4 linked regions of the Drosophila melanogaster genome follow. The protein of the gene in region 2 interacts with the protein of the main gene of each other region in a pairwise test. Each region holds a gene or a part of one and is shown on either strand. Other genes may lie near its edges.

Evidence for each region.
Region 1: the proteins of CG13857 (region 2) and Hmx interact in a two-hybrid assay, tested with the Drosophila melanogaster proteins (one large-scale study listed by BioGRID).
Region 3: the proteins of CG13857 (region 2) and eIF4G2 interact in a two-hybrid assay, tested with the Drosophila melanogaster proteins (one large-scale study listed by BioGRID).
Region 4: the proteins of CG13857 (region 2) and CG43894 interact in a two-hybrid assay, tested with the Drosophila melanogaster proteins (one large-scale study listed by BioGRID).

What each region holds. Positions count from the first base shown.
Region 1 is NT_033777.3:17,555,518-17,563,664, reverse strand, and holds the start of Hmx (H6-like-homeobox), read right to left. Parts: upstream 4,736-8,147; 5' UTR 4,302-4,735; coding exon 3,472-4,301; intron 1-3,471. UniProt on the Drosophila melanogaster protein: Transcription factor involved in specification of neuronal cell types.
Region 2 is NT_033777.3:22,390,153-22,397,481, reverse strand, and holds CG13857 (uncharacterized protein), read left to right. Parts: upstream 1-3,377; 5' UTR 3,378-3,475; intron 3,476-3,956; 5' UTR 3,957-3,963; coding exon 3,964-4,992; 3' UTR 4,993-5,293; downstream 5,294-7,329. Other genes in the region: CG7059 (uncharacterized protein), read right to left, coding at 5,399-5,562, 5,619-6,113, 6,176-6,288.
Region 3 is NT_033777.3:23,814,141-23,821,982, forward strand, and holds the start of eIF4G2 (eukaryotic translation initiation factor 4G2), read right to left. Parts: upstream 5,098-7,842; 5' UTR 4,841-5,097; intron 4,680-4,840; exon of another isoform or gene 4,472-4,679; 5' UTR 4,087-4,471; intron 2,891-4,086; 5' UTR 2,872-2,890; coding exon 1,101-2,871; intron 967-1,100; coding exon 829-966; intron 776-828; coding exon 1-775. Other genes in the region: CG34355 (uncharacterized protein), read left to right, coding at 7,390-7,606.
Region 4 is NT_037436.4:12,886,680-12,893,815, reverse strand, and holds CG43894 (uncharacterized protein), read right to left. Parts: upstream 4,047-7,136; 5' UTR 3,593-4,046; coding exon 3,532-3,592; intron 3,474-3,531; coding exon 3,345-3,473; intron 3,277-3,344; coding exon 2,759-3,276; 3' UTR 2,711-2,758; downstream 1-2,710. Other genes in the region: CG14118 (uncharacterized protein), read right to left, coding at 1-491, 956-1,103; CG14120 (uncharacterized protein), read right to left, coding at 4,649-7,136.

The sequences.
Region 1 (8,147 bases), 4.8 Mb from region 2:
CCACGGCAAACCGCGGACAGCTAGGTATTCATTTCCACGACCATTTGCATTGGTGTCATGCTGCGGCGGAAGCGGACGGCCATGTTTTTAGAAGTGGGTGCGGTGCTTCGGGTCACTCCTGCTCCCATTTTGGACCCTCGTAGACCTCCAATCAGCCCCGGGCTGTCAAATGGGGAGGATATTTAGGGGGGGTTGATGCATTTGTTATTTAGCTTTTAATGAATTGTTTGCGGTTCTCGCTTTGGGCTCCTTTCGCCCCGGCTCACCCATCATAATTCCGCGACTTGGGATCCCTTTGTCCTTGGCATCATAGAGCATGAAGGCATAGAATGGGCTGTGCAATTGAGTTGTTTAACATGGCGTCGAACATCGGTTTCTGGTTGGCTATGAGTTTCGGCTTTGATGTCCCCGAGCCATCCGTGGGGCTTTCTTTGTGTCGAGATCCAAGCGAAAGTTCAAAGTGATGTGAACCGTGTGGCTGGGGTTAAGTTAAGCAACGAGTGGAGTATTAACCAATTCAAATGTTATTACCCGCACTTTTCATACGATTGTCGCATTAGCGAAATTGATTTAAATAAATCTATTTAAATTTGTGTGGCCAACCGATCTGTGAGCCCTAAAACCGCTTAGGAATCGCTCATGCATGAAAGATTTGCACACGCTAATTGGTCCATCCCGTGCGGGATCGCCCCTTCCGAAATTCCGTACTCCCCTTCCGATACCAGGAATTTATGTTACATTGTTGACATTTAACGGTACGGGTTTTCGAGCAGTTTTCGAGGGGTTCTCGAACGGTTTTCGAGGCATACTCGACCTGGCCGCAAAAGTAGGCAAAATATTAAACACTCGAATGGGCAGCGAAGTTTGCTTTTGTCATTAAACGGGATTATTAGCAATAGTCTAGTGCCTGGGGAGCGGCTTAGGCTATGTCCCACTGATCTGAGGCGACTAAACAAAGTAACCGAAAATGGTGACATTTGTGAAGAGCATGATATTGGTTTTTTGCTATTATTTCATCTTTTGTCGATTTGCCACCATGGGAAGCCCCGCCAAATGACACGTGACCGGCGAATCCGAGAGGTTGGGGTGAAGTCAAGCCGCAGACTCAGATTGGATGCATCCGATGGTCTGCAGAATATGTTTTGATTAAATTGCGACCATAGAAGTTCCCACCACAACATCGCGATAAGGAATCAAAGGCATTTCACCACTAAACACTAATCCCCTCAGCGCCGAAAATCAGTTGCAGATGAAGAGATATGTTATGGGATTGGTTAGGTCCTCAATTGCCATTGCGATTGCAATTGGATTGTAATTACTCTATGTATACCTTACTCTGTATGTGTATGTGTGTGTGTAATTATAATGTCATCGTCTGCTTTTTGCGTCATCCTGGGAGAAAAGGACAATGCAGGAGCACCCTTTCCGTTCGCCGTTGCCCATTGTTTCCAGTCCACTCACAAGCATATCGGGTTACACCTCTTCAATGGTTTTTTCCTGCTATCTGGCTGCGCAACTTTTTCGAATCCCCCGCTCGCTCGCCCAACTGAATCGTAATTAAGTACAGGCTGCAGAGAAAGCCCAGCGACTAATTAAAAACGTAAGCGCAACTGTCAAAATAAGCCGAGCTCCGCCGGGAGAAAGTCGGCTCAAACTATTAAACGATCACTCAGCAATGTTGCTGTGCTCATACTCGTATTCATATCCCCCCGGCATTAATCATTCTGGCCGATGATGATCAACTGATAAGCCAGTCACATAGGCAGCCACACGTCAGCTGGGCTAGCGCCAAACAGCAGGAGGCGACACTTTGTCCAGGACGAGGTCCTTAATTGGGGTAACCACGCACGGGCCACAGTCCAGTTGACTGGGACAGTAGCGACCCTCGGCCACAGAACCTGCCCACCAGCCCGACTTTCCTTATCGAGACGATCAGCGACGCGGGCACGCGTAAATGAAATGAAAATGATCGTTATTAAAAAGTTCGAGGACTAAAACGTCTGGGGGAGTCCCCCTCCCATTCTCTCGTAAAATAAAAGTGCAACTTATAAATTCTCTTGGTTGTTTTTTTTTTTTTTTAATTCAACACATGCGTTAATCGAGCTGCCTGGAAATTCGATCGCTGACTCAAAAAGCCGGCTAAGTGGGGTTAATATGCCAGCGTTTATGATATGAATGAAATGAATAAAAAACGCATTTGCACTGAGACAAATTTAAATTGAATCAATGGAATATGTTGCAAGAGAAATAAGCTCTTTAATGAATAGTACCTAAATAAATATAGATTTATGTAGGTGTACATTTTTCGAGTGCTATTTTTCACAATTAAATTTTACAAAATCCGTTAATATTAGCTCGGACTTGTTTATTTCCAGTGCACATTGTGTATCAATAAGTTGCATTCGCACAACAAACAGCTGTAGAAACGTACCAGTTTTTGTGGGTCAGCTTGGAGGGACTGAGGGTTCATTCATTCGAAAGGACCACGTTTTGCATACGATACTGGAGCATTGTCAGTCCGTCAATCAGCCGGACAGTCGGTTACATTCATTCCCGAAGCGGTGCATTAAATTTCATCTAACAAATGTTATGTAACTCGATAGTCTGGCCAAATTGCAGGGCAAAAATGGTTTAGACCTTTTCTGCATATATTCGAGGTCAGCTAGCGTCCAGTGCAACTAAAAACGGTTCCATTGGATTTGCTTTATCTGTCTGGCATCTGGAATTTGGAATCGTTAGATTCTCGGAGCACAATGGCATGGTACTTTAGCCATTTGCATCTTCACCCACTTAATGTCTCGTGTAACGTTTGCCCAACAATTTTCGGTCTTATCGACCATCTCCCGGCTACCATCTCAGTCCGTCTCCATCCCATTTCTCCTCTTTGTGCACTTCCTGCGAAGAGATTTGTGTCACCTTGCCTTGTCTTCCCCTAGGACGATTATACAAAATTGGCCCAACCCGAGGGCGAACAAGTGGAATGGCAGCCTCTTTGGGTTTTGGGCTCATTGAGGCAAGGCTTGACTTTTTGGTTTCAGTTCGCCGGCGAACGTCCTAATCTGGGTCGCCTACACTGAGCAATAAATGGGTATGGTACTTAAGACGAGTGATTTTTATTATTACAAAAAAAGGTATTCAATGGGAAATCCTTGGGCATATGAAATTATACTCATTTAATTTCAGTAATTATAGGGTTAAAATTTGAATGAAATTTTAGTTCGAGTTTGTATTTTTTTAAAATATCTTGCGGATCAAAATTAGGCGGAATAGCTGAATATCGTCAGAAGTAACTAATTATATATGACAGATGGATGGACTAAATTTTTGCAGATTAAATTGTTAAAATGAATTGAAGTAAAATGTTGACACTAAGATTTTTAAATTTGGCGACTTCATATTTACAAGATTAATCACATTTGAAATGGGAGGGCTATTTTTGACTAGAGCAAGTCTGGAATGTTTTTTAATTACCTGGACAACATGGCCGCATCCTGTGGACCGCCGGCTCCTGGTTGCGGCAACTGCGGGATCGGAGTGATAAGTCCGGCGGCGCCGTTCTTCTTGGCCGGCTCACTGCGACTCAGGATGCTGGAGATGGAGAAGCTGGTGAATCCGTTGGAGCCGGTGGTGCTCTTGCCGCCGCCGCCCCCGCTGCTCCCGTTGCTGTCGTTGCTGTTGTTGCTCAGGTTGGCCGCTGCCACCGCTGCTGCTGCCGCCGCTGCGGCCGCCGAGGCGCAAGTGTTGTTGTGATTGAGGGCCTTACTGTTGTTGTTGTTCAGACTGTGTCCTTGCACCTCATCGCCGCCATTCCGCTCCGGACTCTTCATTGGCGGACTAAGGCGCTCGACATGCGACTGCTGGTGTTGCTGCTGCACCTGCAACTGTTGCTGCTGCTGCTGGCCGGTGGGCGTGAGTGCGTGCTGCAGCAGGGCGGGATGTGTGGCCCCGTGGGCGGGATGCAAGTGGCCAAAGGTGTGGAGCGCGTGATGCAGCGCCACCGGATGGCTGCCCAGGCTGCTCAGATGGTGCTGCAGATGATGGTGCAACACCGCCGGCGGCACAGCGCCTCCGCTGGGACTGTGATGGAAGTGATTGCCGCCCGAGGCGGACGTTGTGGGCGTGCCGGCGGCCGTGTTGGGCGTATTGGAGCGATGGGTAGGCGTGGCCGGGGGCGAACTGCCGTCGGCGGAACGGGCCGGCGAGCGGGCCAGCAGCGGACTGTCGCGGGCAGCGGCGCCCAAAGGACTCGGCTCCGGACTGGACACCACACTGATGTCAACTTCGGCCTCGGAGGAAGACATAGCTTGAGATTTTTGCTTAGATTTGCAGTTTAAACGTTTAATTCAGCACTTTTGTTCTTCAACTTGCACTTGTGTGTGTGTTTTTTTTTTTTTGTTTTATATATATTTGTTAGGAAAATAAAGAATTTTCCAAACCTTGTACACTTCAGTCGTGCCACGAAAAACTCGTTAAGGGAAAACGCCGAGCGCTACCGTTGGGAGAAACACGTCTGCACCGTTTGATCAACGTTTCGCATTTGAATTTAAATGCGGCTGTTAACAGACGCAGTCCTGAGTTCTGTGTTCTGAGTCCTTCGTCCTTTCTGTCTCTGTATGTATGCGAGTGCTTGTGTGTGTCTGCGTGTGTGTGTGTGCTTGTGTTTGTGTGTGGCAAAGCGATCGTTTAGTGTTTTTATTGTTTCAGTCTCTGGATTTTTAACCCCCGGTCTCGTGTCCGGAGAGCGTGGAACTGAAACTGAGACTGAGGTGGTTGGCTGGCAGCCCTGCAAATTCTTTTGGTCTTTGCGCTAAATGGTTTTCCGCACTCACACACACACTTGCGTATTTGCTACCCCTCCTGGGAGGGTGTGTCCCACTCTCTCTCTATCGCTCTCGCTGTCCCTCTCTTTCACCGCCTGGTGGCCCACCCCTTCTGCCGCTCTTTTTCATTCCATTTGCAGTTCGGAATTTCTTTTCGTTTATTTCGACAATTGCACTGCAACCGCATCGACAGACACTTTTCGCATTTTCCTCCTTTACTATTTTTTCTCTGCGGTGCTGGTGGAGTGCGCTTTGGTTTTCCTACCCCCCGAATGGGAAACACTTGGCATTTGGAACGCGTCTAAAGTGGGGGCGCACTCGGCTCGACTCGAATCGCTTCGCTCGGCTGGTGTCTATTGAAATGCCAATATAAAATCAATCAATTGCCACCTAACAGGGGTCAAGTGTTGCTCTGTGGCGCCATTGAAATTTCCCAGCCAGCCAGATGCAAACTTTTTCGACCAGAAAAGTGTGTGCCGAAAATGCACCAGTCGATTGCAACCTTGCGGTTAGCAGATTGAGCGGTGAAAGTTTCAACAAATGGGGTTCGGTGATATAGATAAATCATTGAATTGCTAAAATATCGAAAGAAATAAACAAGCAACTTATAAATTATGCAAAGAAAAGTAAAAGAGGTTTTGTGGGTGTTATCAAATGTATAAAATATCAAATGTATTTATTATGTTTGATAACGAAATGGTGAAGAACAACGTTAATCAAAAACGATATTATCAAAAATACGAGGATAGAAGGTATCCTTAAGAAATTAAGTGAAAGATTTTCAACAATTATATTTAAATAATTAAAAATATGTAAGCAATTTCCCAACGTATTAAGTTATATTTAGTATCGTTCATGTCATTGTAATGCATTCCCGTTTCTTCTTTTATTTGGAATCTCTGAGCTTTCTACCTTATAGCATGTTTCATTCCACAGCGTTCCGTTCCCCAAAGAGAAAACCTCCCCCAAAAAGCGAACAGGCGGCCATTTTTGCGAAGGAGCTCTGCAAACTTTGCAGAAAAAGAGCGGGTGAGAGCAAGAAAAAGTTAGAGAGAGAGAGAATGAGAGAGAGGGCAAATTGAATTTTTAAATGCTTTCGCTTTTTATGAGACAACCACGAGGCATTCAAAGAGTGTTGCAAACGATTTGCTCAAAACAAAACAAACATTATGCGAGTCAATTACCCGTCGAAAGAGAGAGACGGCGAGACCGGAGAGAGCACTCTCTTTGGGGGCGTGGCCAGTGGAGGGCCAATGGGGTGACAGCTCCTCGAAATGTCGGAGAACGCTTTTCAGCGACGGGAAAAGCGAGCATAAAAAACACAACCAAACAAATGGGTAACAAACATTTGCAGCTCAGACAGCGACGCCGAAATATGCGTAGAAATTCATGCGCAATTACATTTATCCTGTTTAGAAGATTGCTTTTGCCAAAGTGCGTCTCCACGTGCTGAGGGCAAGGCGCCACCCTTGCACCCGCCCAGCACCCCCATCTGCCACCCACCACCTCCCATTTCCCCTTGGAGGAGCTGTGCATGTGTGTGTGTGTGTGTGTTGACGGAGCCATCACCTGCGTCCGTAACACATTTTTCCGTAATTTCCCTCTGTGCATTGCTTGTTTTTGATTCGTTTTCGTGTAAGACTTTAGAGTGGGATTGGGGGTGTATAAAAAATAAATCCAATGGGGGACGGGGCTTTTCCGGGAAACAATGGAGTGGGGAATTGGAAGAATTCCGGCCACCTCGACGGTTTCAGAAATAGTGACACTTAGGTGGTGCCCCATTTCCATTTCAATCTCAATTCACAAATGGAAATTGCGTTCACTCAGCACCTTCAGATGATTTCATTTGTGTTTCGCTCTGTTCTCGAGGAAATTTCAACTCGGATTTGATTGCGCTCATTTGGGAAAATTGGAAATGCCATCAAAGAGGTTAACTAAAGGTTACACTGAAAAGTAAAGATCTTAAGGCTTTTAAGGATCACTTAAAAATATTATATATTTTAAAAAGTCTGTTGTACATTATATCGAATTAGAAGAATTAAGAGAAATGTGGTAGCTTAAGTAAAACTGAAAGAAAAAAACAGGCACATTATTATAGGAATCTGTGATAATTCAAATACATACCGTAGGAGATCCTTTTGCCTGTGCAGTTTAAAGGATGGACTGAGAAGGAAACTCCCATTAATCTCAATGCCTGACCGCTGGCCAAGGCAAGCCACAAAAATTTGGAAAAGCTCCTTTGCTTGGGAACATTTAAAAGAAATAACAAACTGTTCAACTGTCGGACAAAACGATTTCTACAACAAATTGCACTGCAATAAAAGAGCTAAAGCTGCAATGGAAAGAGATGGACACAGGGGTAGAAAGAGAGAGAGAGAGAGAGAGAGAAGGAGAAAGACAGGAGCCTCTGGCACACACTGCCTGTTTGTGTGTGTGAGCGAAAGGAGATGACATGAGAGGGTGGCTGAGAAGGAGGTCTAATTGACGTACGAGCAAAGTGGGAGTTGCAATTTTCATTGACTCCACTTTAGGATGCACACACACATAGAAACACACACACACACAGACAGACAGACACTCAGCAAAGTTTGCAATGCGAAAGAGAGGGGAATAGGGGCAGTGATAGAGAGGGCAAGCAAGCTGGGCTTAGCTTGCTCGACTTAACTGCAATTAATTTGGCAATTGAAGGTAGTCGAACAAAAACTAACATTATTCCTGCTAAATACCCGAGACACACTCCATTTCAATTTCGGAATTTTCCGAATTTCGATTTTCCAACTCACACACACAAACACATTAGGCAAATGGAGAAGGCTCTTGTCCATCCGTCTGTTGTAGAATTTTGTATAATAGGCAGAAAGCATGGTAAAACAATAAACGTGCAGAACGTGAAATGGAATGGTTAAAAGCAAATGGAGTTGTAGTTCCCGTCCGTGGGCAGAAGCCTCCATAAATATGGATCCTGGCATAGCAAAGTTGGGCTGACCAGACCACCCATCACATCATTATCATCGTTTCGGCTATTTGCGGCTATTAGTCAGCCAAATTTGTGTGACGCGCTTTCCTTCGCTTTTGGGGGCTTGGCTTTTGTCTTCTTTCAGAATGCAAACAATGGCGGGAATGAATGTATAAAGGACCACACGCAAACCCCTCCAAACCCATCGATCCACCCTCGCACACCCCCAATTTCCACCGAAAAGCAACCCATCCAACCCCACAGTGCTCGTAAATAACGCTTTAGACTTTGATTTAAATAAATTGTATTGCGAAAGGTAATATTTTATGATTTCAACAGTTGAACAGTTTTCGTTTTCGTTTCCGTTTATG
Region 2 (7,329 bases):
AATATGCACTTCATTTTAGAAAAATTACATTTTCAAGTAGCAGACAACCAACTTTTAAGCAAACAACCCATATTTTAGTTTATTTTGCAGGTAATGAACTTCAAAAGCCACCGCAATAACAATGTTCTGTTCTAATGCTTATATGTACAGCTTGCTGTCGATAACAACGAATTGCTGCCCGCTTAAAATGAGAGGACTGTTGGGCCCAACTAAATTACTTGACGAGGTGGCCGAGTGGTTAAGGCGTTGGACTGCTAATCCAATGTGCTCTGCACGCGTGGGTTCGAATCCCATCCTCGTCGACTTCTTTTTTTTGTTTTGTAATGATAGTTTTATTTACTATTTCCTTAGATTATAGCATGTATTCATGTATTTTTCTAGTACTTTAATTTCAATTATAAGAACAAATAAAGAACCCCAAATAATATATACAATTATCTAAGAGCTCTATTGGCAAAAGCATTTCAAGATCAAAGAACTTCTAAAAAATGTATGGTAAGTATGGTATGTATGTAAATTAAGGACATAATTCGCAGTCTATTAATGCAAAATATTTTCATACCTCTTTGAAAAAACGATCTAAAACAGCGAATTCCAATAAGACGAGGTGGCCGAGAGGTTAAGGCGTTGGACTGCTAATCCAATGTGCTCTGCACGCGTGGGTTCGAATCCCATCCTCGTCGGTTGTCTTTTTTTCTTTTTAATTTTATCCTTAATTTATTTTATTGGTCTCCATGTTAATTACATTTCTAATCTTTTCTAGGGTTAAAATCAATATACTTTTGTTTAAACGAAAGCAATAATAAAATAAATAAATAAAACTGAAAAGAATAAAAGCAATAAGCAAAATTTTATTTAAAAAGGATATTTTCCGACGAGGATGGGATTCGAACCCACGCGTGCAGAGCACATTGGATTAGCAGTCCAACGCCTTAACCTCTCGGCCACCTCGTCTTCGAAAAATTTTGATGTGAAAAGTACTATTTCTGGTCAAACCCTATCCAACTTCTTATCAAGAATCTCTATGAACTGAAGCTAATTAAAGGTAATATAAAAACTAAACTGATAACACTCAGTTCCAATCACAGCCGCTGGTTAAATTGCTTTAGCAAACTCTCAACTGTTTATTTAATAATTGGGTCAAATTGAACTGCAAGCAATTGGGCTTTTGAAAATTTGTTTGCTGTTAAAGAAAGTAGCTGAGTGTGGCTCGTGTGGGGTGAGTATTCAAGTGCAGCTAAAGGGTATTTAAGACAAACAATTCTTTTAGAGCTTAAAACCCAACTAATAGAATCAGAGGTATTGCGCGATGAAATTTTTCCATAAAGGGTATTTAGATACTGAGTAATTTGTTTACATAGTCTGTTTGGAGGGCGACTTCCTGAGGGGTTTTTAATAATTCAGAATCTCGTCAGCGGTCGTGCTGCTTCTGACCCAGTTCTCCGCCGATCTTCTGTCTTAGCTTCGATTTCTTTTTATATCTCTCTCTCTGTTGGTGTAAAAAACAAAAGTGGTTTACTTTAGATGGGCCATGCTCAAGCGAGTGTGCCGGTAGCAAAGTGATGATGAAGCTGATGATTTAATACGAGAGCTTCTGGCTTTTTTTAAATGGCAATGGCCATCAGCCGTGGTCCCAGCAAGCACGGCGTTTTGTTTGGGCCATGTTTGTGTCCAGGCTGTCAGTTGGTGTTAATGAACCCTTGTAGCCTGATAGCTGTTAGTTGTTTACGTTCCGAATACCGATACCAAGATAGTACTGCCAATTCTACACTGCACAAATCCACTGGAAGTACTATACTATGATTTACTGCACAAATAAAATGTACTAAGCTAGATATTAAATATATCGTAGTAATTGGAACAGATCATTGTAAACCATTTCTCATTGATGTCAGGCCAACTAGCTAGGCAGAATTTGAATAGTCGTATATTTTAACATAACAAGATGCCATGCTGACTTTCAAATATTTTCGGGCAGTGCATCAACGACATTGTCACCTAACGTGGCTTCGTTAGGAAAGTGGCCAAGTTTGATGATCCGCAGGCACGCGCGTTTTATATTTAGCCCCACACCAGGGCGACTGCGATCCTCGCGCCAGAGGCTTCGAGGAGCGGGGCTAGTCACGTGCACAAGGACATTCCAAGGCTAATTACGTGTGGCATGGGGCTTGGCCAAGTTGGGTACTTCGGGTTCGGGCTTGGGTTTGTGTTTGAGCTTGGATTTGGGCTTGGTTCTTAGCTGGACTCTGGGATAGTGCCTTGAGTTGGGTAATAGTAATACACACATAGAACACGAACCGTTCGTTATTGTCGTCGCTTGTTGCGGCAGTTGCCGCAATCTGCGGCATGTATCTGTATCTTTTGCATCTGCGTGGATGTTACTGCTCCTGCTGCTGCTGCAATCGCCGCTTAATTAGCTGCGTAATTTATTATTGCTCTAATCTCAACGCCGGCGCCAGTGCCGTTGGCTTTGACAAATAAACAAATTATTCATATTAGAATATTAATAGTGCCTGCAGGGGTTTATCTGCACCGGAGTATGTGGAGTATCTGGCATAATTATGACCTGTTTGACAGACTGTTCTCTCCTGTTCCCTTTTCCTTTTCCTGGCCAGCCTGGGATTCTTTGGCTGGCATTACACTGGCTCTTGCCTGGTAATCGTTAGGCGGACAATAAAGTTGCACACTAACTAAATATGTAGGCACGCCGATGCAATCGCACAATTATGCTCAATTATGCAACTGGGAAGAGATCTTTAGATCAGCAGAAGCAGGTGCTTTAAGCAGGCACTAGGTGCTATCTGCTTGGTGCTAGGTGCCATGTGGAATGCAGGGCGGATATCATTGACTAATGAGCCCATCTCCGACTCAAACTCGACGTCTTCTTTTGCCCTGTCATAAAAATTAAAATGCATAATCGCGGGCGTTTCTCGCAGGGCTCTTGTTACACCAGTCGAGAGACCTTTTGCCGGTATAATTAACATTGCTCGCGATTCCACCAAGCTGGCTAGCAAAATGCAGCAAGTGCATGTGGATATTTATATAATTTGCAGCTGTCAGGTTTATTCACAGTCGGGGCTAATTAAGCCGGCGTTTAAGCCGCTGGCAATTAGACGATTTATCACTTGCCACAGAACCTCAAAATCATGCCCTTAGATCGCTGAGAAAGGCCAAGCAAATGCAAACAAACTTATGGCCCAAACACTCTGCTTACCACACACTTAACCACTTCACTTCGCTTCTTCAATGCTGCGCATGCGCAGCTCCCGTCGACGGCGCCGTCGGCAGAGAGTTGGGAACCGGGAATGCGGGGATTCTGGCCAGGCCCCCATATATAAAGCGTCGATTCTGGCCGCGATCACACTCATTTCCAGTTGAACGCGCCTGCCGACCAGTGGGCCAATTGATTCGTTAGCATTTCGATTAGGACTCTTCTGCTAAATTAAGAAATCACCGATCTTCACTTACTGACCAGGTAAATTTTTGTACATAAAGTGTTTGTGGAAAAAGTGTGAAAACATCAAACATAAAATTAAGGGTAATTGTTTAAAATTGCCGATCAAAAGGTGAAAAAAATTAAAAATTTTTGAATGCGAACACATACTAAGCAAAGAAATGGAAAAACAGCGGCTTTACTTCAGAGTAGAATACAATTTAATAAGTAGATATTAGTAAACCAAAAGTGCCTACTTTATTTAATTATGAATTATTAGCTTGGGGATACTGCACACTTCGGGGTATACTTTTTGCTCCGATCTCGGCCGGCGATGGGGCTCCAAAGTACTGGCCATATTTTTTCCGTTGTTCACTTGTGCTGGTGGGGGAAAATCCGCTGGTTGCGCAATTGGAGTGTGAGAAACTAGCTCGAAGCATGCAAATCAGCTTGAATGGGGCTTGGGGTCAGTCGGGGATCGACAGAAGATATACTCACCGCCAATGCCATGATCCAATTACAGCTATCAAATGGGTAACCACATGTGGAGCATCATACTAATGCTGCTGGTGCTGGAGCAACTAGTGGCCGACTCTGTGGCAGCCAATCTAGCCCAGCTGGTGAAGAAGCAGAGCCAACAGAAGCAGTTGCAATCCTCGCAGCCAGGACTGCAGGTGGGACAACAACAGTCGCAGGGACAGCAGATCCACACGCAGCAGTATGTCCAAGACACATTGGGCGAGCAGCAGGATCTAAAGTCGGAGGACGAGGAGGAACACGATCCCTACCAGATGATGCAGGAGTCGAAACAGGAGTCGCGATTGCCCAACTCTGCCAACTATCCCTGGAGTCCATATGCCGCACCTCAGGGCAATCCTTACGATGCCATGCCCAAGATGCTTCCCTTCATTGGCTATGCCCAGCCAGTGCTCATACCCGTCCCACTCTACCTGGCTCCGGATATGTTCTATCCCGCCTTTTCTGGCGCCAGCAACGATCTCGAGGATGTGGTGATGTCACGAGCCTCCGGTGGTCGGCGTCCTGGGGCCAATCACGCGTCATCAGCCCGCAATTCGCCCATCTACTACGTAAGACTGCCGCCCACACCGTATATGTTTTTGCCCAATATGCCAACGGCTCCATTTGGGGGTGGATTCTCACCACTGCTGACCTACCAGCCCATGCCCTCATTCTCCGCCTACGGTTCGGTATTCAATTTGCCCGTGAACTTCCTGGCCAACGGAAAGCCCACTGGAGTCTACCAAGTGAACGGATCTCCGGGTGAGGCGATGGGATCCCTGACACCTGGCTTGGGTGGCGGTGGATATGGAATGCGGCCACCGACGCCTAGTAATCCCTACAGACCCATGTCGTCGCCTTCGATGGGTGGTTATGGAGGCTCTCAGCAGAGCTTTGGACTCGCCTCCATGCCGGTTCCTCAGCAGGACTCCAAGCTGACATCGCTGAAGCGTCCGTTCGTGTTCAACGGTCGTCCCGAGGACATATACATCCTGCCAAACAACTTGGGTCCGCTCTACAACGAGCAGAGCTACTACTAATTGCACTTCAGGCAAATGGCTGTGGCAACAACTGAAAGTATTACATAATGCATTTACTAGATCGTCTTTTCGATCGTAACGAAGCTTGAGAAAAACAATTTAATAAACTATACACTTGGAAAAAATGTTTTTTTTTTTTTGGTGTAGCATCCAATTTGACGTCATACAACGAAATAGCTTATTTTTATTATATTTATGTACGTATATGTAATCTTCTCCATCAATTATATTTTGTATAAATTGTATATTTTTGGCCGAAAATATCAGATGGTGTAGACCAATAAATAGTAGTCATAATATCCTTATCAGCCGATGTTCTCGGACTTTAAGCGGCAAAGGCTTAAGTAAATGCAGTCGGCCACATATCGATGTAAATTCCAAAAAAGTCGAGAGGAGTGCTCCACAATCAGTCACCAATGGCTGCCACCTGGGCTGTCTTCCGCCTAATATACTCCTGATCCCCCAGATTGATGGCAGCTCCAACCAAGCCTCCCGTTTTCAAATCGAACTCATAGACGCGTGGCACGCAATTTGGAATGTTAACCTTTTCGATGGCCTCGTTGGAGATTCCTACGGAGTGACCATCGATGTAAACCATAAGCTATTGCTAAGCCTATCTAACTTACCCTCAATGTGCTGGACGAGAGCACGGGCCACAGTTCCGTGGACGCACATTAGTACCCGGGTGCCTTGGAACACTTCCCGCCTGACCTCCTTCCACACGGGTTTCACTCGATCGACGCACATGTGAAGGGATTCCGCGAGGGGGAACTCACCGCGAGGAACATCATCGAATATGGGATTGCTGCAAATGGTGTAGAAGTAGCGGTTCTTCTCATCGATGGGCGGCGGTACGCAGTCGTATCCACGTCGCCAGGCCTGAACCTGCTCCTCCCCATAGCGATCGGCTACCACTCGTTTCCGGCAACCAGTCAGATTTCCGTAGTGCCTTTCGCACAGCCGCCAATCCTCCTTAATGGGCACATAGGCGCAGTTCAACTTGGAGAGTATCAATTCGGCCGTTTGACGAGATCTGCTCAATACGGATGAATAGACCACGTCGAATTCCAACTCGGATTGGACGAGCGCGGGAATCGCCACAGTCAGGGCCTCCTGGACGCCTAGTTGTTAGATAAATAAGAAGTTAACTGGGTATTTTAAACTATTTTAATCCTAATCTCACCGAATTCACTCAATGGCGCATCATGCCAACCGCAGAATTTGTTCTCAATGTTGAAATCACTTTCGCCATGCCTCAAAATCACCAAGCGATTTGTTTTCGTCATAAATTGGGAGCTGGATGGGAAAGAGATACTTTTGAAAGTTGCATAAATACATGAAGTGCATAAATATAATAAGTAATAATATAAGAAGTGTTACGGCCTAAACTTAAACCAGCACTTTTTTAAAGTTTACTATTAATCTTGACTTTACTACTCCAAAAAGTAAACGTTTGCGATTTAAGCCAGTTTTCAATGTAATTCAAGGACTTTTTCGATGGCCCGCGGGTTTTGCTCGTAATTCCAACGCAGTGACACTTTATTCTAAGCTTTATCTAACCTCGCCTCTTTATTTTGCTTTCGGTTTATCCACCATAAAGTTTAGTGGGGGACTTAGTTGTCCGGTTGGCTGGGGGTGAAGTGCAATCTTTTTGGAGGTGCTAGTAGCTAATGTCAGACAGCGGATGATAAGGGTACCGATGTTTCCACTAGAACTGCCGAGCGCCGTACAACCGAGATTCGTGACTAGAGAATTTGAATGTGTGCTCACCTCGACACCGTCCGGATGCGATTGAAGCGCGGTCCAGTGGCGGAAGCCCGCGAAACCTCGACAAAAAAAGAAGGAAAACAAAAAACAATCCGAAATACGAAAGCACGGCGCATTCCGCACATACTTTTCGGCTAGTGTATCTGATAGATACAAAGCGCGGCAAAATCGCGCGCGGCTGGGCCAACATGACGAGACAAAAACAAAATATAATTCGCATTATCTGATGTCCAGACGGCAGCATAATCACACGAACACACCCCCAATAAAGCTGGCCCATTCATTCACACAGATACTATTTGCTGGCTCGGCGTCGTTTTGGGTTTTTGTGTTTTGCTCGCCACGTTCTCGTTCGCTTTCGCGTTTTCGGTCCCAGTTCGAATCCCACTGGTTCTCGGATTCTCTTGCAGATTCCCCGCCTATGTAGGCACCAGTACCAGGTAGCCGAATACTCGGGGGACACCAGATACTTCCTAGACGTAAACAACGCGCGCCCACACCTTCGCCTTCGCATACTTACGCCTGAATTTCGCGCATTGTTATTCTCGTGGGTTGTATCTTTTTTCGTAT
Region 3 (7,842 bases), 1.4 Mb from region 2:
TTAGTATTATTACTAGTTGCACTAAGCGTATCAGTCGTCGGTTGCGCCGTCTCCTTGTCATCGACAGCCGCCGTTTCTTGTTTGGTTGTGGGTGCTGTTGCCGTGGTTGTTGTGGTCAGTGTGCTCATTGATGTTGTGGTCACTGTGGCAGCATTGTTGCTATTTGTGTTAATTTCTAGCGCGGCGTTGCCATTACCATTGCCCTTGCCATTGTTGTTCTGCCCTTGAGTGCTTGTAGTGCTTGTTATCGAGGATTTCTGTTTTTTCTTCTCCAGCTCCCTGGCCCGTTTTTGGGCCTGCCGTTGTTTCTTGGACGAGTTGGTAGTGGTTGTTATGTTCGCGGTGCCGGCAAGCAGGGTAACAGCGGCCGAGATTCGTGAAGCAGTCGGTGGTAATGCTGGAGTTGATACTTTTCCTGGAATCTGCTTTCCATGCTGCAGATTGTTAACAGGCTGCTGTTTAAGCTTACTAGATGCGTGGGTCGGTGTTGAGGCTGTCGACGAAGAGGCACCCGAACTGGTCGTAGTCGAGGTGGCGGCTTGAATACTCGACTTCCTGTTGGGTGAACCCGTTGTTGGCTTAACCGACGCAGCTACAGCTGTGGTAACTATCGACTTGGTCGACTTCTGCTGGGCGACACGCGAAGGTGGCGGGGGTGTCGAGGGGCCAGCTGGTGTTACCATCGACTGGCCTCTGGACAGGATGGAGACGCCTGGGCAACCGCTGGCTGCTGCCTCAGCTACGTCATTCGCTATGGATGCTGGCGTAGCTGTACCTGTGAGCAAACAATTTAGTCGACGTTAATGGATTAATTGTCACGGAACATACTTTGTTTGTTGGCCAATTTGGGACGTTGCTTTTTGGCTTGCTCTTGGAAAAGCACTGGCTGCTGGCACGTATCGGTTGTATCGGGCAAGTCCGACTGTACTAGCGGCAGGCTATTGTGGGTCTCCGTGACATTGTCCACTGCAAGAGGAATCATTAGACTTTGACACTTGAAGCCCGGCTAACTTCAATTCAACATTTCAACGATATTGAGATGCTTCCCTTCGTTTACAAATACAATTCTAAAGAAAATTTGGACGTTTTTATGAACTCACCGTCACTATATTGCCAGAAGCTTAGATGGTCTTCTGCGTTGCCCGAGTGGGCTAGTATGTCTTTTACAATTACGCTGATCTGATCTTTATCCGTTGATTTGGGTGGAGGCGATGGGTGTACGTCCTGACCGACAGCGTCTTTGCAGTACACCGCTTCTGGCACCTTTTCCAAGGAAACGGACTGCTTAAGGGAACTCGCCGGCTTCACAGTCTGCATCTGCTGATCTACCATTGCGCCAGACAATAACGATGACCCCGAGCCAGAGTCCATCAGAGTGGGCGCCTGGTACAGGCACAAGGTACTATTGTCATCCAGAGCTGTGTCCAGATCTGTGTGCTGTGTTAGTGTCGAGTTTGAGTCCTTTTTTATAAAAACCGATCTTTTCCATCCATCCATCACATTCTCCATGGTGTCAGGATGGATGATGGGAATGGCGTATTTGCGCTTGCATACCTTATCGCTGTTGGCCCCCAGTTGCGGTGCTGTTGTTACTGACGGAGTTGGAAGCGAGGTGGTTGAAAAACCACTGGCCACCGCGGGAACTCCAGTCACACTTGGGACACTAGGTAAGGTGGTGGCGCTGTTGCTCTGCAAGTGCGGAGCAAATGTGTGCAGCCCGCCTGGTGGTTGGGGTGGCGGCGCCTGCATTCCAGCCGGAGCCAAAATAGGGGTCGTCATCCCGGCGGGCGGTCCCAATGCCAAACTGGGAATGCCAAAGTTGTGCGGCAGATGATGAAAAGCAGCAGCTCCGTTCAGTGCACCGCTGCGCGAGTTCATCATTGGAGCCACATTTGTCGGAGCGGGACGTTGGGCATTTCCTGGGGCCATGGTATATGCGGTAAAGTAGTTGGTATGTTGGGCGGTGGGAGTAGATCTTTGCCCTCCGCGCATATTGCCGCGATGTGTATTGGCACCACTAACCACGTTGTTTCCAGCAGAGTTTTGAGCGTTCGGCCCAAGTTGGTAGTAAGCTAGTGTCGGCGTTTGAGCAGCTCCCGGTGCCCCGCCTGGACCTTGTTGTTGAGCAGTGGGAGGAAGCTGTTTCTGTTGTGGAGGAGGTGGCGCAGCCGCATAGAATGAAGCTCCAGCCGCTCCGTTAGTGGGAAAGGTCACAGCTGGCTGCATGCCCATCAGAGGTCCGGTCTGATTAATTGGTATATAGGTGGCGGAAATGTAGGGTCCACCCGCATTTCCGCCGGCAGGTGCGATCAGGCCAGCTGATTGTTGAAAGTGGGGTGGTAGAGTTGGGTTGCTCAGGGCACGAGGCATGTTTGACCCCGGCGCCACGCCATTTGCTCCACCATGGTGACCACCAGTAAGAGGATGTCCCAACGTGTTGGAACTGGCGGCGGCGCTCAGTTGGAGGGTAGCGCCGCCGCCGTTGGCACTGTTGTTAACCGCCGCGGAATGCGCGGCGTAGGACGGCTGGGTATTGTAGAAGATGACCGGCTGGTGGTGCGCCTGGGCCTGGGCTTGCACCTGCTGCTGTTGTTGCTGTTGGATGTGTTGCTGAAGATGAGCGGCGGCGACGGCTGCTTGTTGTTGGTGTTGCTGCTGCTGCTGTTGCAGTAAGTGCTGCTGCTGGTGGTGGTGCAGGCCGCTGTGGTTCGGGACGAACACTGCGTGGGACTGCTGCTGCTCCTGCTGTTGCTGGAGGTGATGGTGGTGCGAGTGCGTCGCCTGGTGATGCTGGGCTTGATGGTTGTGGTTCTGCTGATGTGTCGACTGTGGCCTGGTTCCCTTCCCACCCCCTCCCTGTTGAGGGAACATAGGAGGACCTTCGAAGGATCTGCACACGCATACAATCGCACCGTCACACGCACAGGCACACACGGAGAGTTAGGAAAACCGCGGCCAGAGCAAAACAGATGTACAAATCGTAATGTTAGTAAGATGGAAATGAAAGTGAAAATGGAGTTGGCGATGTGGAAAATGCTTGGCGTATTAGGTTTTCAGTCAAAGCCGTGAGTACATGCGAATGAGAGTTAAATCAAACGTGTGCAAAAGCAACCAAAAATGATCATGCAAATTATGTGTTTACATCTTATGACTAAGGGCTATTTTACAAATGCACTCCCTCTTTTACCCTTTTCTTTATTCTTTAATATTTCAATCAATTGAGCTCTTTAATTGGAATGTGGTGTATGATGTCACTCGCGGGGCGTGTATACATCCAAAATGCTTTCGAAGATGGCTCGACACCTTATCGCGCCGGTTTTATCAATGGACTAGTCACTTGCGCAGCCTAAATACTTGTACATAGGTGACACACGGTAACAAGTGGCGCTATTAGTCAGTACTGGCCTTAAAGCGGAACAAAACAAAGGCAGCCACAAAGAAGCAGCTGCCAGCGAGCGTAGGAGGTGAGCTATGGGCTGCTGTCGTCTTTATGGCTACAACCAGTTTGGCATTCCGTCAGCACTTCCATCGGCACAGTGGAGACCGCAAGAACTAGATCACTTAAAACTGTTTACGATATGATTTCTTTTAGTTATAATACTACCAAACGGAATTTCATTGTTGTTTTGCTAAGCAAGCGTTCAATGCTGATTGATAAGAATATGAAGACAAACATTGGCCAATATTCACTGTGGTGTTCTCTTTGGAGCTCTCTGCTGGCCTAGAAAAACCAACTCCGCTGCAGTTTGCGGCCAAGCACCTTCAAGCCAGAAGAAAACCAGTTTTCCAGCAGACGAAGTACGTGCATGGCTCTTTTCACTCCATGGCGAGGAAAACGAAAACCTGGCTGGCAGATAGGCTCACTTGTTTCATGTTTGTTTGTAAACAAAACCAGTTGGAGTGTGTGGGTGCTGCTCTAAATGGGATCGCGATCGCTTATTGGGAGTGCATTCGTACTGGAGGCAGTGTGTTATAGTAGTAGTAGTGTGTTATTAAACTAATAAACAAACAATTAATGTAAATTGCGTGAAAAAGCAAGCAAATACTAGAATGGGAGTAAGTTGTAAGTCAGATTTCGAAACTTACCGCTTCCTGTGCTTCGATTGGTAGATGTGATGATTATAAGGGTATTCGATTTATCCTATTTCTTAGTTCCTAAGGTAGACCTGCCTTTAAGCCTATCCGGCTTCCCTTGACACCTGGTCAAGCTCTACGCCTCCTCCTGCTGCTGCTTATTTGCTCCTCCGTTCCTTTTTCCTATTTCTCGTGGAAACTCCTCGTCTTTGTGGTTGTTGGCTCTATCCGGAATACTACAATAGCTCAGATATTCCATGTATAAAAATACTCCAATTCACTGTGATGCACATGCACATCTGCATTTGTGCAGACGGACGAGGGGCACGTACACGTACATGCGTACAAATATACAAAATAACGTACGGCTAGTGCTAAAATTTCACGGTAATTTGTTCTGTAATTAAAGGCGTTAGAGGAAGTTAAAACGTATGCTTAAATTTTGCAATTGCGAGGAATCAAAATTACAATATGATGAATATGAACACCAAAGCAGCGCCTGCTACGAATTTATTCCCTCTCCTTGTCCAGCTGAGCAGCCTCAGCCCCGGATTGAGAATGAGAAATGGGCAGCCAAGTGCCAATTCGTAATTTGACACTAATGGCAAGGGGACTTTTTGTAGGTTTTTAACCTTTTTCAGATTTTCAGGTAATACTTTTCCCCGAAAAGGCGAGGCGTTGGTTTATGTTTTTTTACCGTTTTGACTTTTTGCCGTTCGCTCTTTTTTTGCGCTCTCTCTGTCTCTGTCTGGCCGCCAGTACTTACCGTTCTGCTCCTGCTCGCTAGCACGCTCTCTCGCTCGCACTCCACACACAAAACTGAGGAAGGAAACAAAAAAAAATGCAGTTCCACGCGGGGAACACGCCAAAAAGTTGCTCTGGCACTGCGCCTTTACATTAGTGCATCGTCTGCTTCACCTCGTTATGTATACACGGCTCACTATCTGTTACAAACAATTTTGTAATGTAAATAGTCTGCAGAAACACGTCCGTTTCGTTTGATGAAATAAGAGTGACCGTTGCACGTAGGGATGGAACATAACTCGATGGCGGCAGCATCGATGTCTACGCAGCGAATATCGATTGTGAAAGTTCCAGAAATATCCCGCAGGAATATTATACATTTTAGTGCGTCCTCAAACCGGGGTGGAGAACTTGGATTCAAGCTTGGCGCGTAATATTTTGAACGTTCTTCATCATAAGAATAATCATTCTTTCGAAATAGAAAAATAGGCCTTATGCAGGTGTTATAATAACAATTATTATATAATGCGCATTGTGGTGCATGACGCAGAATATCATATAAATTCCACACATATTTCGCTGTTATTATTGTTTATTCTAACTTTACATTTTAATTTGAATGATATATTCATAATTTACGCATTCGTAGGACAGCATATGCGCAGAATCCTGTTTCCATTCCATTCGCAACTTCCGGATTGCCTCCCCTTAATGCTCTTAGACTACCCCTCGTGCAGAAATTGCAGTGTTTACGCGCTTGTAGTAAAAGTTTTGCTCTTTCTGTTTTGCCGGATGCGCAACGCCCTCCACTTCCCACATAATCCTTTACTCTGCGCCCTCACCTCCCTCTAGTATCCGTTTTTCCAATGCTATACCCTTCTCTACTTATTACTCCTTATCTCAGTATACACTATGGCCAAAACTTTAAAGTAAAACGAGTGCAAGAATGAACTCGGAGCCTTATTGCAGCCTAAAAAAATTATATACACATAGAGCCCACAAACAGAGTCTGAAGGGATTATTTGGTGGTTGAAAATGCAAAAAGACTAGACCGCAAATGCAAATATTTTAACTTGGCACAACGAAACCGCATACGGACTGTCCGTATTTTGCATTTTTTTTTTTCCATTTCAGTTGTGAAGTCATTTGCAATGCTTGTTTTCCTGTGCGTACTGTCATGTTTTTGTGGCCTTTGCGGTTGCACTAAAGATAGTGTGAGGACAACAGATGAGTAAATGGACGAGGCTCTTACTTTTTTTCAATAATTTTGCTCTCAGCACAAACATTTTGAATATAACGGTCGCTGAGTGCGCTACCTGAGCGGCAGGTTTTGACAATACAATTCGAAAATGAAATTGCAACACTTTCCGAAATTTGGATCAAAAAGATACGATTTTTAAAGTTTTATTTAAATTTTATACATTTTTCAAAGATAATATCGTCTTACATCTTATTAATTTATTTAAAAGTATACTTATTAATTGAATCCCCCTTAAAAAAAAAGCCTCTGCTTTTTGGTATATTTTGAACCCATAATGATTTAATTTGGTATTTCTTTCAGCACCGCATGGTATCTTTCGGGGACGCGAGTGCAGCCACACCAAAAGCGAATTCCTTTACTCCCGCTGCGGTCACACTAAGTCCGAAGCTTGATTCGCCCTGACGCGCGTAACGCTTTTTTCCCGCATCACTTTCCTCCACTTTGGCGCTGAAAAATTCTGCACAACAAGAAGAGAATGCACCAAACTGAAATTGCAACCGACTGCGACTACTGCACCTGAGCCGGTTACGAAATCAACTCTTATATTACTCATATAATTTTGGCATCCATGTAGAAACGAATAAAAATAGTGCGCGAACTGAAAACCCGTTAAAACGAGAATGGGCATAGCCCAAAATAAAACTTTTTCGTTTCTTTTTTACCGTTTATTTAACACAATCAATTAAAATAAAACCAAACACAAGATTTACTCAAAGTAAATCGCGTATAAGCTCGACTACCATAAATGTTAATGTGAAAATTGTGCAATAATTAGAGAAATTTCTAAAAGAAATTCATAAGTGCGGTATTCGTAAATTGCATTGTTTGCAAATGCAAAAAGCAAATGTTATGCAACTATAAGTTACAAGTTAAAACATACAAAAAGTAAACAGAAAATTAATAACCAACCGACAGTACATACAGATAAATGTATATATATAGCGAAGCAATGTGTGTATATAGAGCACTTTGAGACCTCGAAACAAGGACTTCGCCAAGGACTACGGATTACTACACTTTGCCGCCAAGCTCTTTGGCTGGCTTAAAGGAAACCCACCAAAATTAAGAAAACCTAATCTGAAACAAGGTCGAAGCGCGGAATTCCGAACTCCCACCTAAGCCCCACCCCCGGCCTGGAAGCACCTGTGCCCGAAAAACCAAAACCCCGGGCATTCTCACCCACGCACGCAAGCGCAGGATTCTGGTAACCGTCGAGGCATCCAAAAGTTCGATACGAGTGGAAAAATTTGGGAGCCAACGAAATTACTTTTGCTTTGATTCCGCCTTTTGTTTCAATCGCCCAGCCGAAAATGTGGAGGAAAGCGAGCAGGTTGGTCAGGGAAACCACCTCGTGGAAAACGCGTCGTCAGGGACAAGCGGAAGCCCCATCAGCAGCAGTAGCAACAATAAAACCATCGACAAGGACGAGCACGCCGATTGCCCACGGATTACCCATCATCATCACATGGTCGCAGCTCGCTATTGTTGCTGCTGTTGCAGTGCTCCTGCAATGCCACGTCTGTCAAGGTAAGTGAGTGGCACCCATCCTCCATTCGTGTGTCCCGTGGGTGTCCTTCGAAGTGTCTCTGTGTGGGTGCCAACGGACAGCGAGGGGTCACATATTAGGAGCGGAAAGGTCACCAATTAATACTGCAGAATCGGAAAGAAGACGCATAATAATAGCAGGGAATGCTGGTCTATTTTTATTCCAAATCATTCCAATTCATTTAATAAAAAAAAGTGGAGTTTGTTCAGTAATCCTG
Region 4 (7,136 bases), on a different chromosome or scaffold from region 2:
TTTCTGGAAGTGCACATTCGCCGGTGTCAGTTGATGGTGGGCGTAGTGGGTGCGCAGTTGATTTGGGTCGTGGCACAGCTCCATGGTGGCCACAAATCTGCCATCTCCGGTGTCATAGCCCACGCGATACAAGTACGAGGTGGATGGACTCGGAGTGTCGCTGCCACAACTCCTGTCCAATCGCTCCACGGTGTAGGGCATGGAGTGATTGCAGACAAAGTCGCTGAAATGGATTTTAGCCCCCATCCACTCGAAGGTGGTGTCCTGCACGCACTTCACCCGAATGGAACGCAGCTTCGCATCCAAAGACTCTCCATTCGCGGGCGCGAACGAATGGCTGCAGTGCAGCTCGATGCTGGCGCCGCGTTGAACCTCCAGGTGCCCATAAGCATTGGGCAGCCAGTAGAGATCTGTTCCTGGGCGCAGGTACAGCGGCTGCACTTTATCCAAACGGGGCAGATCATTTTGCACATCCACTCTGCAGGGAGAACCTAAAATGGGAAGTTAGGTGTGTTAAAAGATGTGGCTAAAAATTCTTGGCATAATTTTAGGCGATGACATAAAGATTAAATATTTTACAACACAATAATATTATTATATATACGAACAATATATATATAACAATTGTAATATAATAATTTTATATTCATATATATATTTTTAAATATTTAAGTCTTTCTTATTTTGAATTTTAACCAATTTTAAGACTAATTTATTTTCCAGCCCTTTGGTGCTATGTATTTTACTTTGTTGAAGCAGGTGACTTTTATGTGTAAATAAGGTTATTGTTTCTACAATATAGTTTTTTTTAAGAAAAACAAACATCAGACCTTTTTGCATTCCAAAATGTACATATATTTCATTCCGAATGTGACCACTACAGTCAAACTACTCAAACAAAGCTCAGTCTGCTTTGGATAAACGTATGGTTATTAACTTTTAGGCGACCACATACCTTGATGAAACATTTCTCCATCGATGTGCAGTCCATCGAGATCTTTGATTATCTGACCCACATCTGGAATGGTTGCGATCGCCTCACGTGCCCGAATCTCTCGCAGAATCACGACCGCCAAAATTAGGCCGATAAACTGAAGCATCATTTTGTTGGAAACTCAACTCGACCGGTTAAGTTGCTATCTAACCGCCGACTGAATTATTTGTTTGGTGAACAGGTGTTTTTATTTATATTCTCAGTTCGTGCTCTTGTATCTTACATCTCTCTCTCTCTCTCGCTCTCTCTTTCGTTTTGCTTCTTTGTCTTGTAATCTCTCTGAGAATAAAGATATAATACCATTGGATTGTTTGCATTTTTTGAGTACTTCCGAGTTCTTTCTATCTATATACCTTTATACATATGTATGTGTATTTAGGTCTAGGTCGCATTAAGTTCTTTGCTTTTGTCGATCCCCTTTCTTTACAGAGCTAAAACAAAAAGTGATTTATCTCGCGAATGATGTATCTCAATAATTTTATTCAAGATTAATCGTCAATTATATTTGACATTTTTCTTATTTAATAATCGAAAATAATCTATTGTTAAATGACCTGGCAAACAATGTATGTACACAATATATTCATACCTGGACAGCTTTCGATTCATTTGTAAATGAATAATGATCATGTAGATTTCGGGGATCATTTAATTGAAATCTAACCATATGAGTTGTAATCGTTGTTATTGTTATTATTGTTGTTGTTATAATTGTTATAGTCGTAGCTGGGTCGTGCAGTAGTGTACGTATTGTAGGGATTGTAATTGTTATACGTGGGATAAGCTCCATTCGATCCATAATATGAATTTGGATTCACGCCCGTACCCGTGCCTGCCCCAATGCCCATTGGCAGGATTATTAAGGGCTCCACAATTATGCTGGTACCACCCATAGTTCCACCTCCCTGGGGCATCATTGGCATCATGGGCATGGCACCTGGCATGTACGGTTGTCCCATATAAGGTTGTCCCATATACGAGGGATAATACGCACGCCCCGGAGATGGTACATTCATTGAAACAGGACCAGGATACGGCAGCGCTCCTGGCATTGGCATTGGTCCTGGCATGGGACGCATTGGAATCTGACGTGCCGATCGATTGTGAAATTGTGGTAGTGTTGCATCAGAATCCATTTCGGAATCCGTCATCGTTTCCCCCAGAGAAGCTGACAAATATATGTATTAGCTATTAATTTTAGGAACGACAAATTTGAAAGTAATGAAATAATGTTCGGAAGGAGTCCATCCGGTGCTGAGTAGCTTTGAATTTTTTTTAACCAGTATCGAAGATCTTAGGAAGATCCACCCGAAAAGGGTAAGTTAATATTGTAATTATAGGTACTATAACTGGGTGGGTACGGATTGTAAAATGATGGAAGTGAGTTCCCAGCGGAACGTCCATTATAGTTCATATACGTTGGATAGGACATCCCTACTGAGAAGTGGAGCCAAGGATTGGCCGAATTGGGTTGTCCTTGCATGGCATATTGCCGGTTGGCCTGGTATTGAATTGCGTACTGTGGGTTGGGCTGAGGTGGAATCACATATTGTGGTGCAACTTGACGCGGCTGCTGCATTTGAAACGGTGGGCGAGGTGGTGGATACCCGGGTGGCATTGAAGCTGGCATCCCCACAGGCTGATAAGGCATTTGTGGCGTTCGCCGGAAACGGTGCAAAACTGGCGAAGATATAGAAACGAAAAAAAAAGGTTGATAATAGATTCTATATTTATTATTTGCACATAACTAAAGCTCCTGGTCTTTTAGCCAGCTAATGTGAGGTAGATTAAATAGTTATTGGTTGATGAGGGATTGGCTGATCTAGACAGGGGGTATCCATATTGACCATATGAACTTGACCGCACACTGGGATAGCAGTTATAGTAGCATGGTGGAGTGGGAGGAACTAATTGTGGCCCATTGGCCGATCGCTGCTGCGTATAAGAAGGCAATCCTGCTCCCGAATTCGGATAACGGGGATAAGTACAGGAATATGGGTAGAGCGGACTGATGGTACAGGGAGGACTTTGTCCTCGATTTAGCCAAGGATTTGGCTGTTGAGGTTGCTGGGAACCATCTTGAACAATAACCAAAACATTAGCCTGCCGTTGGCCTGCATGGGTGGCAAATGTATCGGAGTTACTGAAATCGCTCAGCAGTTTAAAGTCACTGTTCCTATTATTCCGATTGCGACTCGTGGAAGTGCTGGGTATGATGATGCTGTTTCGGGTGTTGGCAGTGGTCTGTGTAGTGTCGATGATGAAATCGCTGGCCAGCTGATCTGAAACGGATCAGTTGAAAAGGACCAGATTTCAGTGTGAACCGATGAAAAAACAAAATTTTACGAACCTGATTGGCACTCCGGATAGGTTCCACATTGTTCTCCTTCTTGCTGATTTGGGTTTTCGCAGGGAACTCTGGATACAATGCATTTTTTACCAGATATACAGGCAATATCCTCACAACTAAGTCCAAATTCTGTATTGATAGTGGGGAATTTTTTAGATTTTATCCCTTATCCTGTTCGCTGACTTACTTCTGTATCCTTGGACAACAATCGTCGTGGCTAATATCAAATATATACCAACAAGTTCCATTTTCTCTTGTAAAATTCCGAAACTAACTAAATTCATTTCCCTAAATCCCTCATATTTATATCATTTTGATATTTCATGGTTGATGAGTTGCGGTAATGATTATTTGCAAAATTAAATCACCGAAATATGATGATTATTGTTCTGACTCTTTCTAACATAAATAAAAGTTCATTAAACAGCGCTAATTGAATATTTTTGTATGGCTGTTTAAATGCAGTACATTAAAACTTACACGATTAATAAGTTACTGCCTAAATATTTCAGCAGTAGGTTAGCCGAATAGAACTATCTATTAAACGGTCTCTGAACTACGCCTTGAACAGGGGTAAATAAACATTGCTTAACAAAATAACACACACTTTCAGCCTTGATAGATATTACTGATTAATTAAAACGAAGTTTAACCGCATTGTTGAATCCGCAACAATTCTAAGTGAATGATTACTCGACCAATATAAATCAATTTTGGTTTCTATCTGCTTCATTTACGGTTTTTGCCTTTTGTTTACCCCCTAAAAAGTCCATTATAATTATTAACCAAGCAGGCGTATACTTCATACGTTCTGCGACGATTGTGTTGCGATAAGATAAACAAAGGGAACCGCACAAGTAATACAAGGTATTTCCTTAGCTTCGATAAGAAAATGTGAAAGTCACTGCCATTGGGACTTCGATTCGGGCCAAGGGACTGCCTCTTGGGCTACTGGAACAGCAGAAAAAATTAAGGCTTTTGGAAACGTGCGGCACGTGAGCAAATAATCCAATGGCTGGGTAAATAAATAGCTCTACCCCGGCCATAAACGATAACGTCAAGCATTTGATAACCTTACTCTTATCAATATGTCCAACATGCAATAAACTCCAAAGAGAACAAAAGCTAAACGTGATTTCACTGTTTTATGGCCCATGAGAACTTAATTTAAACGTGCCTTTAAGCATTTTCCTAAGGGCTACCCTTCAATAAAAACCTGTTTTCTTTAAGATAGTCTTTTTATTGGTTTTAAATTAAGAAATTCGTTTTTTTTTTTGGAAATTGCACACCCACAAAATCTGATATTAAACACCCAGGACTCCATCGACAAACAGGTCTTGTAAAGGTAGGTCTTTCACCACTGCAGTAAAGTCCTCCACAGTACAGGCATATGAATAGCCCTTCTTTAGGTCCTCTTTGGTCCAACTGACCCAACTCAGTTGGGCGCCAATATCCTGGCAGATGATGTACTCCTCTTCGATTTGCTCAATGGTGGCATGTGGGTTGTTAACTCCAAGTAGCACGATGCCATTTCTGCTCTCGCGATCGATAATCACGCGGAAGTACAACTTTGGCACTGGAATCAGACCATTGTTGTTTTCATCAAAGTCCAAATAGAGCTCCCTTCCAATGCCATTTACATCCGGCAGGGTGGACACACCCCATGTGCCCGTATAGCAATCCACTGTGATGTTTTCATCCGCCACAAACTTTCTCACACTGTCCTCGATTCGTTCCCAGTTTCCGCCATTAAAGGTCTGCCACTGAGGTGCCGCATTCACAAAGAAGAAGCTCGCCTTTTGAGCGGCCCCAAAGACAAAGTCGGTCTTTGCAGAAAGGTGACCCCGAGCCAGATAGACATTACCAGTGGTGTTGAAGTATGGTGAGGCATCCATGCCCAAAATCTCGGAAACCGTGATATTCTGTTGAACTTGGGTGTACAAAGTGTTCACATCCTTGCCTCCGTAAAAGTCGCCGGGTATAAAGGATGGCCTGGATACAGATCGCTGATATTGGTCACTTCCGGGGTACAAAACATGATGCACATAGCGGGTGACTTCGCTCAGTTCATCGTGACACACGTCATAGGTCTGCAGGAAGTCGTCGCTCGAGGAGGATGACAGCTGAAAGCCCACTTCAAGCAGATCAGTACCACCATTGCAGGGACGACCAGAGCGACGAGCAGTGTATGTTGGCCAGGAAGTGCAGACAAAGTCCTGCAGCTGATACAAACTGCCCATTGCCAGGATGCTCTGCTGTTGCCAGCATGTTGAATTGACGAAGGTATAACCAGAGAAGGGTCCACTGAAAGAATTGATGCAGTGGAACTCAAGGGCTTCTCCATGTTTTAGCTGAACTACTCCTTCTTGATTCGGTTCCAAATATCTCGCATGACCCAATTCACTCCTGACTACAAATAAAGGAGCCGGATCCTTAAGATCACCGTTCACTTTAAAGCTGCACACTTCATTGTCCAAGATTTGATCAGTCAAACCAAGAATTCCTGTTGTTTGCAGTTGATCTGTGGGCAAATCCTTAACCACTTCGATGAAATCTTCTACAGAGCACGCATAGGAGTAGCCCTTCTGCAGGTTTGCTTTGTCCCAGTCCAACCAATCGATTTGCGCTCCCACATCCTCACAGATCACATAATCCTCGAGGGTCTCCGTCAATGTTATATGTGGATTGTTGACCACAATTAGAACTACTCCCTTGCGACTTTCCTGATCGATAACAATGCGATAGAGGATCTTAGCTACTGGCAGTTGTTTGGTCTCGGCATTCAGATACAGAGGTGTCTGGACACCTTGTGAATTGGGTAGAGTTGAGATATCATAGCTGCCGGCATGTACACTCACATTAAGTGCCTCATCCGCCACAAATTGCTTCAAACTGGATTCCACTGCAAGCCAATTTCCAATATTGATGCTTCTCCATTGAGGAACTGCGTTCACATAAAAGTGGGTGGCTCTCTGGGCGGAACTATGGACGAAATCAAGACGAGCTGCCAGCTGTCCTCTGGTCAAATAGAGATCCTTAGTGCTGTCAAAGTACTGACTGGCATCTAATCCCAGGGCCGTACTAAATGCATCCAGCTGGTGTGATTGGTCATATAGAACATTGACATCTTCGCCGCTATAGAAGTCACCTCGAAGATAGCCCGGTTGAGCAACACCCTTTTGGTAGGCCACATTGGCCGGAGTCAGTTCATAGCGAGCGTATCTGGAGATCTGCTCCTGCTGATCGTAGCAGAGCTCAACATGGCTAAGAAAACCGGCAGCCACATCGAAGCCGATGTGCACCACATCCGTACCACCAGCGCAAGATTGTCCCGATCGGACTGCCGCATATGTGGGCCAACTCTGGCAGACGAATCCTCGAATATTGACCAGCTGTCCTTCGGCCTCGTACAATTGATCACCAACACAACGAGCGCTCAGAGCTGTATACCTATTAAATGGTGATACCAGAGCTCCAGTGCAGTGCAGATCAATGGAGGATCCTTCTTCCACGGTGTAAAGCCCACTTTCATCGGGCAGCAGCCAGCTGAGAGCTCCTTGCGGTGTTAGTAGTGGAGCAGGATCCTTGAGATCACCATTTGTACTAAACCTACAGGGATTGGCAATGGGATTGGCAGTAGTCACCGGAGGACTTGAAGTAGAGGTAGACGTTGGAGATGTTGAAGTTGATTCTTCGGTTGATAAAGTTGGTTGTGAAGTGGTAGAGGAAGATGTAGTTGAAGTAGGTTCCAGAGTGGTAGACGAGCTTGGTTCTGTTGTGGATGTAACTGTG